2 linked regions of the Drosophila melanogaster genome follow. The protein of the gene in region 2 interacts with the protein of the main gene of each other region in a pairwise test. Each region holds a gene or a part of one and is shown on either strand. Other genes may lie near its edges. The genes, in order: Vps51 and Exo70.

The links.
Region 1: the proteins of Exo70 (region 2) and Vps51 interact in a two-hybrid assay, tested with the Drosophila melanogaster proteins (2 studies listed by BioGRID).

What each region holds. Positions count from the first base shown.
Region 1 is NT_033778.4:18,707,462-18,712,662, forward strand, and holds Vps51 (vacuolar protein sorting 51), read right to left. Parts: upstream 3,405-5,201; 5' UTR 3,315-3,404; coding exon 3,234-3,314; intron 3,158-3,233; coding exon 2,406-3,157; intron 2,346-2,405; coding exon 1,709-2,345; intron 1,657-1,708; coding exon 1,126-1,656; intron 1,074-1,125; coding exon 961-1,073; intron 905-960; coding exon 796-904; 3' UTR 691-795; downstream 1-690. Other genes in the region: CG15073 (uncharacterized protein), read left to right, coding at 1-561. UniProt on the Drosophila melanogaster protein: May act as a component of the GARP complex that is involved in retrograde transport from early and late endosomes to the trans-Golgi network (TGN).
Region 2 is NT_037436.4:8,409,740-8,416,442, reverse strand, and holds Exo70 (exocyst 70), read right to left. Parts: upstream 4,593-6,703; 5' UTR 4,483-4,592; coding exon 4,435-4,482; intron 4,397-4,434; exon of another isoform or gene 4,382-4,396; coding exon 4,216-4,381; exon of another isoform or gene 4,146-4,215; coding exon 3,634-4,145; exon of another isoform or gene 3,618-3,633; intron 3,432-3,617; exon of another isoform or gene 3,369-3,431; coding exon of another isoform or gene 2,715-3,368; exon of another isoform or gene 2,340-2,714; intron 2,226-2,339; coding exon 2,161-2,225; intron 2,099-2,160; coding exon 1,368-2,098; intron 1,309-1,367; coding exon 986-1,308; intron 917-985; coding exon 783-916; intron 728-782; coding exon 625-727; 3' UTR 533-624; downstream 1-532. Other genes in the region: CG32354 (uncharacterized protein), read left to right, coding at 1-463; mtrm (matrimony), read right to left, coding at 2,715-3,368; Oseg1 (outer segment 1), read left to right, coding at 4,950-5,014, 5,098-5,328, 5,400-6,703. UniProt on the Drosophila melanogaster protein: Required for exocytosis. Thought to function in intracellular vesicle targeting and docking before SNARE complex formation.

The sequences.
Region 1 (5,201 bases), on a different chromosome or scaffold from region 2:
CGACATCAGCTGGAGCACGCTGGTGTCACGGAGCCCAAGGTTCAGTGCGACATCTGCGGATCCTGGCATAAGAACAAGCACAGTCTCAAGAAGCATGTGCGGCGACATAATGGCACTGCTGCCACTTGCGATCTGTGTGGAAAGGTTTCGCCCAATAGGAGTGCCATGCTGAGTCACCAGCGATATGTGCATCTCACGGATAGGAAGCACGAATGTAGTGTGTGCAATAAAGCCTTCAAAAAGGCCATCACACTGAGGGAACACATGACCATGCATACGGGCGAGGTGCTTTACAAGTGTCCTCACTGCCCGAAAACATTTAACTCCAATGCGAATCAGCACACGCATCGTAGGAAGTGTCATCCCAAAGAGTTCGAGGAGGCAAGGAAGGCACGCACCGAGAAACGAAAAGCCATCGAGGAGGAGACACCCAGCGTGTTGACCATCTCAACGGGCGAAGATGGGGAATCCCACAGCATTCTGCTGACAAATACCGAGGAGGATATTAAGGGAGATACCATCGAGTTCACTCTGTGTCTCAGTGCCGATACCACAGATTGAAAATGATTTCTGTTACATTTGGTGTACCCGTAACCAGCACAGTTAAAAAATGGCAGAATTGGAATTTGAAAGATTTTTCTAACAAAAAAAAAATGAAGTCAATTTCCTAGACATTTTAAATAACTATCTAAATTAGAAACAGGGTGTTTATTTTTAGATCCTTAAGCTAGCAGCGTTTAACAAAATAGACGGAGATTTTAAGTGGAATGTTGCTTTATGTTGTGGAAACAAATACTAACCCCGTTCACAAATAATTTCCACAGCATTGGGCTCCATTAAAACGGACTCCAAGCACCTTTGCACAGCTGAGCCAAGAATCTCGTCCAGCAGGAAGTTCACCAGACTGCCAAACAAGTGTGTTTAGTTTATCATATCTTTCAGTTTTCGAAACTAACTCACTTTTCATCGCTTACAAATCGCCATAGGTTCATTTGCAGATAATGAGCATCCACCTGAATCTGCTGAAGTCCGAATTTGCTAAAAGTTCTCAGCCTCACGCATTCCAAAAGGGTCTAGAAACATAAATCACGTAAATAGCCACCTTCATTTCATAAACTCACTTACTTTTAGACCAATTTTAATAATTCCCATTATAATTGAGGCCTTGGTGAACTCTACTGAAGTAAAGATTTCCACTCGCTCCGAAAACAAGCGATGTATGTTGGACACATAGCTGGATTCCAGCTGCGAAGGCGTGTAGTTTGACCAATTGGAACGATACTGTGGCTTTGAGGTGGAAGCAAAGTTACTGAAATATGTTTTTCGGCTAGAGTCACTGCTCGCTGTGGTGCGGAATCCTGACGTTGCATTAGTGTTTGCCTCGTACAGACTGGCCACCACCGTCTCGATGCTGCCGAGTTCCTCCACCACACGCTTCATCACCGCACGAACGGATCGTGGTTCCAGGCAGTTAAGCCAATCCCTTGTTTCCACGCTCTTGCGTAACATTTGCGAGATATTGGTGCCCTGCAGCCGCACATAGGCGTCCAATAGTGACTGTGCCGTCTCCCGCATTTCAGCACATATCTCAGTTTCGTGGGTAAGCGTTGCACTGTTCTCCGAGTCGATTTCGTACAGGTCATCAACCAGAGCAATCTGAGGATTTAGTTTGTTAGGGAATCAAAAATAGTTGCAATAGAAAGCTCACCAGTATGTGAACGCCCTGTTGCTCGAGTTCCAGACACGTTTTCGACAGCACCAGCAGTAGATTGGGTGGACTGGAGCTGGAGGCATCTCCGAAACCACACATCACCTTGGCAATATGACGTAGGAAGCCAATGAGTAGGTTCTCCCGAATGCCCTCTACGCACAGGGCGCCCTTGTGTTCCGCCTTGATGTTAAACGACCAGTCGGTGCGCAGGAATATAAGCAAGTCCTGCAGTACACCCTTTATTTTCTCCACCATGGACACATAAAGGTTGCTTATCAGATCACCGAGATTGAGACCAGCAGCTGCATCGCTCTTGGCAGAAACCAGCGACAGACGAACCGCACTCAAACTGTCGGCAAAGTGATCTTTGAGGTTTTTGGCATGGGCATCGCATAGTTGGTGGGCAGCCGAAATAATGATAGATACTGTGTTGCGTTGGACCTCCAAGCCGCGGCAGATATTTCGCATGGCCTGAAGGCGCCGATGAAGTCGATCCAGAGCGCGTAGCATTACCTGGGTATCGCCGTAGCCAATGTCGGACTCAACACGATCCTGGACGAGTGTCAGATACTTTTCGATGTTCTGATTGAGGAAGACATTTAGCTCCTGCAGGGCGTTCTCCTGAAAGTCATCGCTGAAAATGGAATGGATAATAAAACTCAATTAAGATTATACAAAATATTGTTCAATTTACCGCTCATGCTCGTAGTGCTTGGCCACAAACATGTCAAAGTAGGAAGTCACTACCAGTGCCAGATCGTTGAGGAAACCATCGATGCCCATGTCCACAAACTCCAGCATATCACGCTCTGTTTGATCCTGCAGCATGACGATTTGCTCGTGCAGTCGTTTGCCAGCGCAAGTCAGCATTTCGCTTGCCAGATCCGAAGTCTTTTCGTCCAGCTGCAGGAGTAGCTCTCCAATTTCCGTCAAGGATTGGGCCGTGTTCCCAGCCCTTTGAAAGTCACTTCGCAATTGCTCCTTGAGATCTGCCATGATGGCGTCGCAATCTCGCTGGATTCCATCGAAGGACGGCTGTCGACCGTACTGGGCGAACACCTTCTGGGCATGCAGGTAGTCCTGGACAGCTTGTGCGTAGTTCTGTTCCTCGATGAGGGACTTCAGTTTAGCTGGCAGAGTTGAGAGAAACTGCAGCCTTTTGAGGAGCGAGTGTTTCTCGGACAGGCGACATAGTTGCGATCTGGTGCCCTGCAGCGTTCCGGTTATTTGCTCACTAAAAGTCGTTATGGATTGCATCTTGGTCATCAGTAGGTTCACATCCGTTTCCATCTGCTTGAAGTCATCTTTCATCCGGCGAATTGTATCCGTGGCGGAGATGAATTTGTTGTAATTCTCGTAGACCAGCGTCTGCATATCAGAGTGCAATGTCTGTGTGTCCTTGACCACCGCCGCCTCCGTATCCATTATTTGCTTTAAGGAGCAATCCTTTATTTGTGAGTAACAGCCAGAACAAAAAGTGCATAAGTTAATGATTATTACTTCACTATTTTGTTGTTCTTACCTTGAGCAACCTTTCCAGATACTTTTCCGCATCGAAGCTGGAGCTGTCCATGTCGAAGGGATTGGCTTTGGTTTCAGCCATTTTGTAGAACTTTTTTTTACCACTAGTCTAAATAAATAAATAAACTAAATGTTGTGAACTTGTTGTTGCTGAAGATTTATCGTTTTTTTCGTATATCGATAAGTTAAGGTGTGTTGGGCAACGAAAAATGTTTCCCTCATTTAACAGCTGACTACCAATATTGTTATCGATATCCAATACCGCCACACAATCATTTTTTGAACGGTGCGCGTTTAGCAACTTTTTATTTTAAATTAAATAGAAATATTATTATATTATTATTATATTATTAAGTGAATAATAATTTAGACAGTTAAATGTTAATGCAGAATAGTACTGCTATGGCATTATATTGAAAGAATTTTAATTTTTAATATTTTTCTGAGTATTTATAAAGTTAGTGTCTTTATTAAATATATTATTTTATTATCTTTTTTATTGTTTTTTCTTTTTGTTTTTATTTTTAGGCACATAGGTGTGTGATGAATTGGTATTAAATCGTGAGAGACGTGAACTGAGATTATCTTAGTTTGCAAAGCTCTCTGTCATTTTTATTCTAATCGCGGCTTTGTTATTGGGAATCTCCCATTTCAAACTGATAAGAAAATACTTGTTTGTTTTTCATAAATGGCATTAATGTAAAAGGTTTTATTAAAGCAATCACAACATGAAGCTATTACTCTTTGTTTCCGCATTAATTGCAGCTCTGTGCAGCTCATTTGTGACTGCTGGTTAGTAACAACAAAATGTTAGTTAACTAATGTACCTAATTACTTAAACATTTTGTAGATTGCTTAACGGACCCCGTGACAATGCTGTGCATTTTGGACCCAAATCATGGCAAATAACTTTGTATATCACCTGGCTCAATAAAGCACAAAAGTAGAACACGATGTGGGCTTCTGTATCCTAAGTAATTCAACAGTCTCCCCAGACTGAGTTACGTGTGGCAAATCGCATTAAACATTCCACGCCCACCGCCTCCACACTACCAGACATCTTTTTTGTTAAGGTCTTATACCCTGTCGTTGGGTATTTCGAAACTGCGATTAACTATGTAACGCTTATTGAAAGATATATTCTTCTGAATTCTGAATTGCCCTATGTTACAGTTTTAATATCTTTTAAACATCATTAAATCATTTTTTGTAATGGGTATTTTCAGTGTCGTGGCATAAATATGTAGCAGTTGTTTGTACTTCTTGGTGCGTCCTTTTTTATTTCGGTGGGAGTTCGTCTGCCCGCTGGCGACCGTGTCAAGTTGAATGAACATGGACAAGTTTTTGCCACATTCCGAGGGCCTAAAGTTCCCTGTGCTGCTGTATCTCGCATCTGAGTCTCGCTTTTCGGCTGCTGGCCCTGCAGCATTCCCCGTAATTTTCCCACCATTCGCACTATATTTTATCCTGGGCTCCTTTCGCTCTCGTTCCTTTGTGGCGTCTCATTTCAAATACATTAACATTTTGACCTTTCGCAAAAAAGTTCGAGCTGTTGCCGGGGCCGAATTTAATTTCGAGTTGTGTGCAGATTGTGCAAATCACACGCTCTCCAATGCCATCAGCCTCCAAACTTGTATCATGTGCACTGAGAAAAATGTATAGCAATGAGGAGTTTGATGAGGATCCTAATTCGCAACACACTATGCTATTATATGTTTGTAATGAATAACCATTATTCATATTCCAAATCATTTCTATGATTGAAAACTAAAACTTTTAATTGCAATGGTCTTCTTAAAGGTTAGACAAACAAAAAAAGAAAAGACCGACAGTGGGACAGTGTGTCACACACTCGCGCTTGTGTGTGGCATGAACTTTGCTTTCATCAAACTGAAAATTGAATTTACGTAAGCCGAGCGAAATATAACAAAAAAAAAAAGTGAAAAGCTGAAGGACGTGAGGGCGGCGG
Region 2 (6,703 bases):
GGCGGATCTGGAACAGCAGCCAGTGTGCGGCTCGGATGGCAACACCTTCGCCTCCATGTGCGAGTTCAAGCGGCGCACTTGCGATCTGCGTGTGGTGCCCGTTTCGCTAAAGAATTGCGCTTTAACCGCCGACTGCGAATCGGATTGTGATGCCCAGCCGCCAAGTTTCGTCTGCGGATCGGACAACAACTTGTACAAGTCCGAGTGCCACATGCGCAAGGAGAATTGTGGCAAGCATGTTTTCGTGGTGCCACTGAAGCGCTGCCTTGCCGCCTTTCAGCTTAAAGGATGTGCCCGCATCTGTCCCAGGGAATTCGAGCCTGTTTGCGGCAGCGACAATAAAACGTATCTGAACGACTGCTTCCTGGAGATCGAAAACTGCAGGGCGAACCAGACGGTGAACGTCAACTACTACGGCGCCTGTGGCCGCCCCGAAGCACCATCCACTAACTTCCTTTACTAGGACGTATGTATGCGTGGCGTCTTCATTTCACTTGGCATTTAATATTTGTAGGCTATAGTCTTGTATTGTACTTTTTTTAAAACGATATTTATTGAGTTTGAATTAAAGCCCCCCAACGAACTTACAAGGAATGCACTTAAAGCCTGGCCTGCATTTAACATCTAAGCCGAATCATCAAAGAGCTTGCTCAGCATAGCGTTGATCTCGTGCTGTCTGTACTTGACGTATTTGTCGGGATTCTTACTAAAATGCACTCCAGAGTAACTAAAAATGATACAAGATGGTTAGGTATAAGCTGATAAACCCTATATACGCTTACATTTCGTAGAATCTATTGTAGATGGGCAGTATGTGCTCCACATTATCACGTTTGATGCCTTCTCGCAGGATCACATCGGGTATGGAGATGCCCCGCTGGATTTTGCATGCCTCCTCAAAGTCCTTATTGAAGTTCTGGAAATTATAGAGGATGTTTTTTTTTAAATCAAGAAAGTTTAGCTTATTTTAAAAATAAAAACCTACAGAAAATCTCTCTTTGAGCACACTGCGATCCTTATCCTTGACCTTGCCGGCCACTGGTTTGGGCAGTTCATCCAAGGAATAGATGCCGACCAGCATCTTGGACCAGGTCTTTTGATAGCTAGCCTTCAGTTCACGTATCATCTCCATGTAGCTATGTTCGCACTCAGGCTCAGCCAAGGTGACCAAATCAATAAGATTGGAGCGTTGCAGCGACTTGAGGATATAGTGAATGTTATTTAGTCGGAAGAGGTGCTTGGTGGCCTGGTCATTGTACTGCTCGCACTTGTTCATTATGGAAAGATTCAGTTCGGCCAAAGCTTTCTCTGCAAAATATAGATAGTGGTTTAAAAATGTTCGCACAATTGATCTTGTTGCCACTCACTTATGTAAATCGCCAAGAGCGCCTTATTGCGTTCCTCGACTGGCAGCGCCTTCTTCATCAAAATGGTGTCCAATTGCGTGGAGTACAGGACATCCTGTGCCAAAATGGAACCAATAACATCGAAATGATCGTACAAGTGCTCAATAAACCAGATCGTATTGGAGGTCAGCTCGTGCACGGTGGCATCCTTTGGAACATTGCTTTGGCCCACAATATTGGTGCTCGATTCGCCCTTGACTACGTCCAGGAAATGCTCCAATGCCTTGGCACCGGTGTGCTGCAACTTTTTTAGTACTTTTTTCAACTGTTCCCTTTGCGCAGGATCGTATGTGCGGTCAATATCCGGCTGCAGCAGTATAACCCGCTTTAGGGCGGAGAATATTCCCAACGCCGAGGTCCACTCCTTGCGGGAAATGCAGCGCAGGATGCGTTGCGTAATGGCCTCAGCGTCCTTAACCACCAGATCGATGGCATTATAGGCCAAGGTGGCGAATACCTCGTTGTGTTTCGACTGGGGAATAATGTCGATCATGATGGCTCGCTCCCAGTTAAGTAACCGCTGCAGTCCCAGCAACATGACCAGATACTTGTCCAGTTCCTGATCGCCATCCATCAAATCCTCGGAGGTCAGGTGGTCGCTGTGCGATGATGCCTTCTTAATGGAGAACCCTGTGGACTGCTCAATCGTCTGCGTCGCGCGTAAATATAACTTGTTCGCCTTCTTTTCGAATCTATGCAGAATAAATTAAATATATCATATACGAAAACTTGGAAATTAAGTAATATTTCTCACATTTGCTGAAGACGAGCGGAGGTTGTCTTTTTTGGCTCCGTTTGGCGTCCACTGTGTCGCGGTCTCTGCAAGAAAACATTTTAAAAACATTAATTTGAATTGTTAATTGCCATTGCATTAATGTTTCTTCGGAATAATTAAGGTACTAAAATGGTAGCAAATTAAAAACTCTTATTTTTGTAACCTTTTAATATGCATTTGATTCTTATGAGTTTATTAATTTTAAAAATGTGTGTTTTACAAAAGCGTTTATACCCCAATTTTTTTTTTTTTTTTTGACAAAAAGTATTATGCAATTTGCTAGCTTACGAAATAAATTTAAATTTGTAAATGAGCTTCGGAGCAACATTTTAGGAATTACATAGATTCTTAAAGTGTACTAGAGTTTATTATTTAAGGCTAAAAACGACGAGCTTTAAGACACCAGGTCTTTTACAATAATTCTAGAATACCTACTTAATTATCCACATATATTAAAATCACAAAGTTTCTCTTCACATAAAACATTTTAAAATCTTAGTGTATGATAAAAGATGGACATGCCAGCGATTCACTTAAAGAGTGTGGAGCACATCCATGATACGGTTGCAATCCTCATCGGTATTTAGGCCGATTTTAACAAGATCAGCACGCTCCAAGGATGCCAGTTCCACCAGATCGATGTGAGCCTCTTCGAAATTGGTCACATAGTTCTCCAGGCCCATGTGCATGAGAATCTGTTCCACATTGGCGGCATGGTTAACCACGTACGAGTGGTTCGATGCTTTGATGGAACGACGACGCGACTCCAAGGCCAGTGAGGTCTCCATATTCGAGTCATCCGAACAGGTATCCGGGCTGCTGCAGCTCTTTATTTCTCGCTCCGGCTCGATGATCTCCTCCTGCGGCTTGGGCAGCACGAATGGCGGGGGCTTAAGCTGAGTGCGATGGCAGTGCTGATGCTGCTGCTGCTGCTGCTGCTTGGGATGCACCTTCGTTGGCACTTTCTTGAAGGTAGCGAACCGCATGGGCGACACTGGACTCTTCCCCTTCGTGCCCATATTCTCGATGGGCGAGAGATTGGGCGAACGGAAGTTGCCAAAGATCGGAGTAGAGCATCGCACGTTGGAGGTGTTCACCTTCAGGGTGTTCCATCTGCGCTCCTTTAGCGTTGGCGTGCGATTAAGCGTAATTTTGGTCTTGTTCGTGGGCGTGCGAGAATTCTCCATTTTTTTTAGATACTGTGACACAGAAAATGATGCGTTCTTTGCGAATTCAAGCTGGCAAATGGCGGTCATCGAATTGGACATGTAATGCTTACATGCACAAGCTTTTTCGAACAGACACCGTTAACCGAAACGATCAGAGATGGGAAAAGCATACATATGCTCATCATCGTACACATCGCTATTCATATTCTACTACGTACTATTTTTCTCCACATAATATATATGTATTAATACTAGTTAGAATATGAAAGAACTGTTTACTCACCAGAGCCTCGTGACCCCAACTGTTGCTCTTTTGGTGATCCTTGAGCAGCTGCAGCGATCGGAGAACCACTTCGCCCCGTTCCGTCGCGTAGATGTTTGTGTACTCCCTTAAATTTTGCTCCAACCAGTGCGATATGGTGTACAGCTCCTCGCGCGTCGTTTGCGAAAGCTGCCGGAATGAGGTGTATTCATCGCTGGAATCGTCCTCTATGTAGATAAGATCCAGCAACTCCACCGGCTTCAGCGGAGCACTGTGCTTCTTGAGGAGCATACTATAGTGCTGACTCAGGCCTTCGCAGCCGGTGTTAAACAAACTGGTGACATTCTCCAGCTCCACGCTCTGGGAATTGTTGTGCCGGAAGTAATCGTTGGCATCGCGCAGTTTGGCTAGTGCGTCGAGGAACACCGAGATGTTTCCCTCCACCGGGCCTTGATGAATCAACTGGCAGACCTCTTGGGAGACATCGTAGTGGGACAGGACGCTTTCCAGACAATTGAGAGTAGCTTCCAGATCTAAAAAAAAAAAGAGGCGGTGACACATTAGTTTTTTTTTTTTGAAATCCCATTGAGTTTATTTTCATACTCTGCTGCCGTTTCTGGAGCTGCTCCGTCTCCTGGTAGACGGGCAATATGGTCTGCTCCAGGTTTCCCAGGCGCTTCTCGAAGATTGTTAGAATACTGGACATTTGCGTGGACAGATCATGGTATTTATCCACTCGATCTTTCAGCAGAGCTAAATTGGTGGCTTCCTATGAGGAAAATGGGTAAGTATGGAGGTTTTGAGCATGACAACTAGACATACCTTCTCCAATTTATTGTGCGCCTGCAATGAACTGTCCAAATTGTTCATTTTCAAGCGTATATGTAGCTAAAATCCTTTAAAAACAAACAATAGTTCTGATATAAAAAACAATTCTATTTTATTTTGTTTTGACGAAACTAGGCATTTATGCACACTGGCTTTGGTCATACTGTCAATTACCGCGTTGCCAACTACTTTGCACGAAAAAAAAAATTATAACGGTCATTTCAGATAGTAATAGAAACTTTTTTTAAATATTGTACACTTAGACAATTAGGTAAACGATAATGAGGCTATGTTTTAAATAAATTGTTTTTACTACTAGTACTAGTTTATTAGTCAAGTCCTAGTTTTAAAAGCCAAAACTAACGGAAAAACCCGCCAAACTGCCATCTCCAGCCAAGACGCCAACTTTTGTTGTGGTTGGTTGCCATGGAATCTGTGTGTAAACAACGCACCTGCATTTAGGAATTTCTACCAACTATGCAGGATTAGCCAATTCGACTTCTGCAACAATGAGGGGTGTTCTCAAGTGGCTGGAACGCATAGAGTTTCCCAATAGCAAAGACAATGAGATCAGGTAAAGCTTTCTCATTCGTGGAAAACAACAACCTGTTGCTTGCTATAACGCCATAACGGTATTTGCAAAACCCAATTTTCCAGTGTCCACAATGTGTGCTACGCACCCGATGGCAGCCAATTGGTGGTGGCTGCGGGGGATCGGTTGCTCATCTACGATCCAAACGATGGCTCCTTGCTGAACACCTTGAAGGCGCACAAGGATACGGTCAATTGTGTGGCCTACTCGCGGGATGGCAAGCGGTTCGCCAGCGGAGCCTCCGATAAAATGGTCATCGTGTGGTCACCTCAGCTTGAGGGACTGCTCAAGTATTCGTGAGTTCTCAGCACACTTGCAATAAATTCTAGTTTTTTATATAAATATAAAAATATATTTACATTCATAGGCACGGTGACTCCATACAGTGCATGAGCTTCAATCCTGTTTCGCACCACCTGGCCTCGTGCTCCTTGTCGGATTTTGCCTTTTGGTCGGCTGATCAGAAGGCGGTGCAAAAGTACAAGATATCCGCGCGTGTCAATGGCTGCTCGTGGACCAATGATGGACAGTACCTGATCCTGGGCCTGGCCAATGGCACCATATCCATTAGGAACAAGTTGGGCGAGGAGAAGGGGAGAATCGATCGGCCTGGTGGGCCCAACAGCAACGTCTTCAGTGTCCAATGTTGTCCGGCCAGCGGTCCTGGCAGTGTGGACACCATCGGTGTGGTGGACTGGAGCCAAACGCTATCCTTTCACACTCTGAGCGGCCAGATGATTGGCAAGGAGCGAACCCTGGGCTTTGATCCCTTGTGCCTGCAGTACTTTCCCAATGGGGAGTTCTGCCTGGTGGGCGGCTGCACTGGAGGTCTACACTTCTTCACCAGGGAGGGCATTCGGCTGGGTACGTTGGGCGATACCTTTGACACCTGGATCTGGACAGTTGCCCTACATCCCAATGGTCAATCCTACACCATTGGGTGTCAAGATGGAACCCTGGCCTGCTTCAACATTGCGTCTAGTACCGTGCATGCCCTCTACCGCGAGCGCTATGCCTTCCGGGAAAACATGTGCGACGTGATCATTCAGCACCTGATCTCTGGCCAAAAGGTGCGCATCAAGTGTCGAGATTTAGTTCAGAAAATAGCCATTTATCGGAATCGACTGGCGGTTCAGTTGCCGGAACGTGTGGTTCTCTATGAGCTGAGCTCTGGAGAGGATCAACCCATGCACTATAAAGTGCGCGAGAAGATCCAGCAAAAGTTCGACTGCAGCTTGCTGGTTGTTTGTGGCCGTCACATTGTCCTGTGCCAGGAGAAGCGTCTCCAATGTCTGGATTTCATGGGTGTCCTGCAGCGCGAGTGGATCATGGACTCGTTCATAAGATACATCAAAGTCACCGGTGGCCCCGTGGGAAGAGAAGGACTAATGGTGGGCTTGAAGAACGGCCAAGTGTTCCGAATCTTTCTCAACAACTCACTACCACTGCTCATCACCACTGCGGTGTCAGCGGTTCGCTGCCTGGATATCAATTCGAAGCGCAGCAAGATCGCAGTTGTGGACGATGTGGGTCGCTTGGTTGTGCGGGACGTAATCAACGATACAATTTTGTACCAGGATACGGGTGTAAACAGCGTCACTTGGAACACGCACCTGGATTCGATGCTCTGCTATACCCACACAACAGGCGGATTAAGCGTTCGCGTGGGGA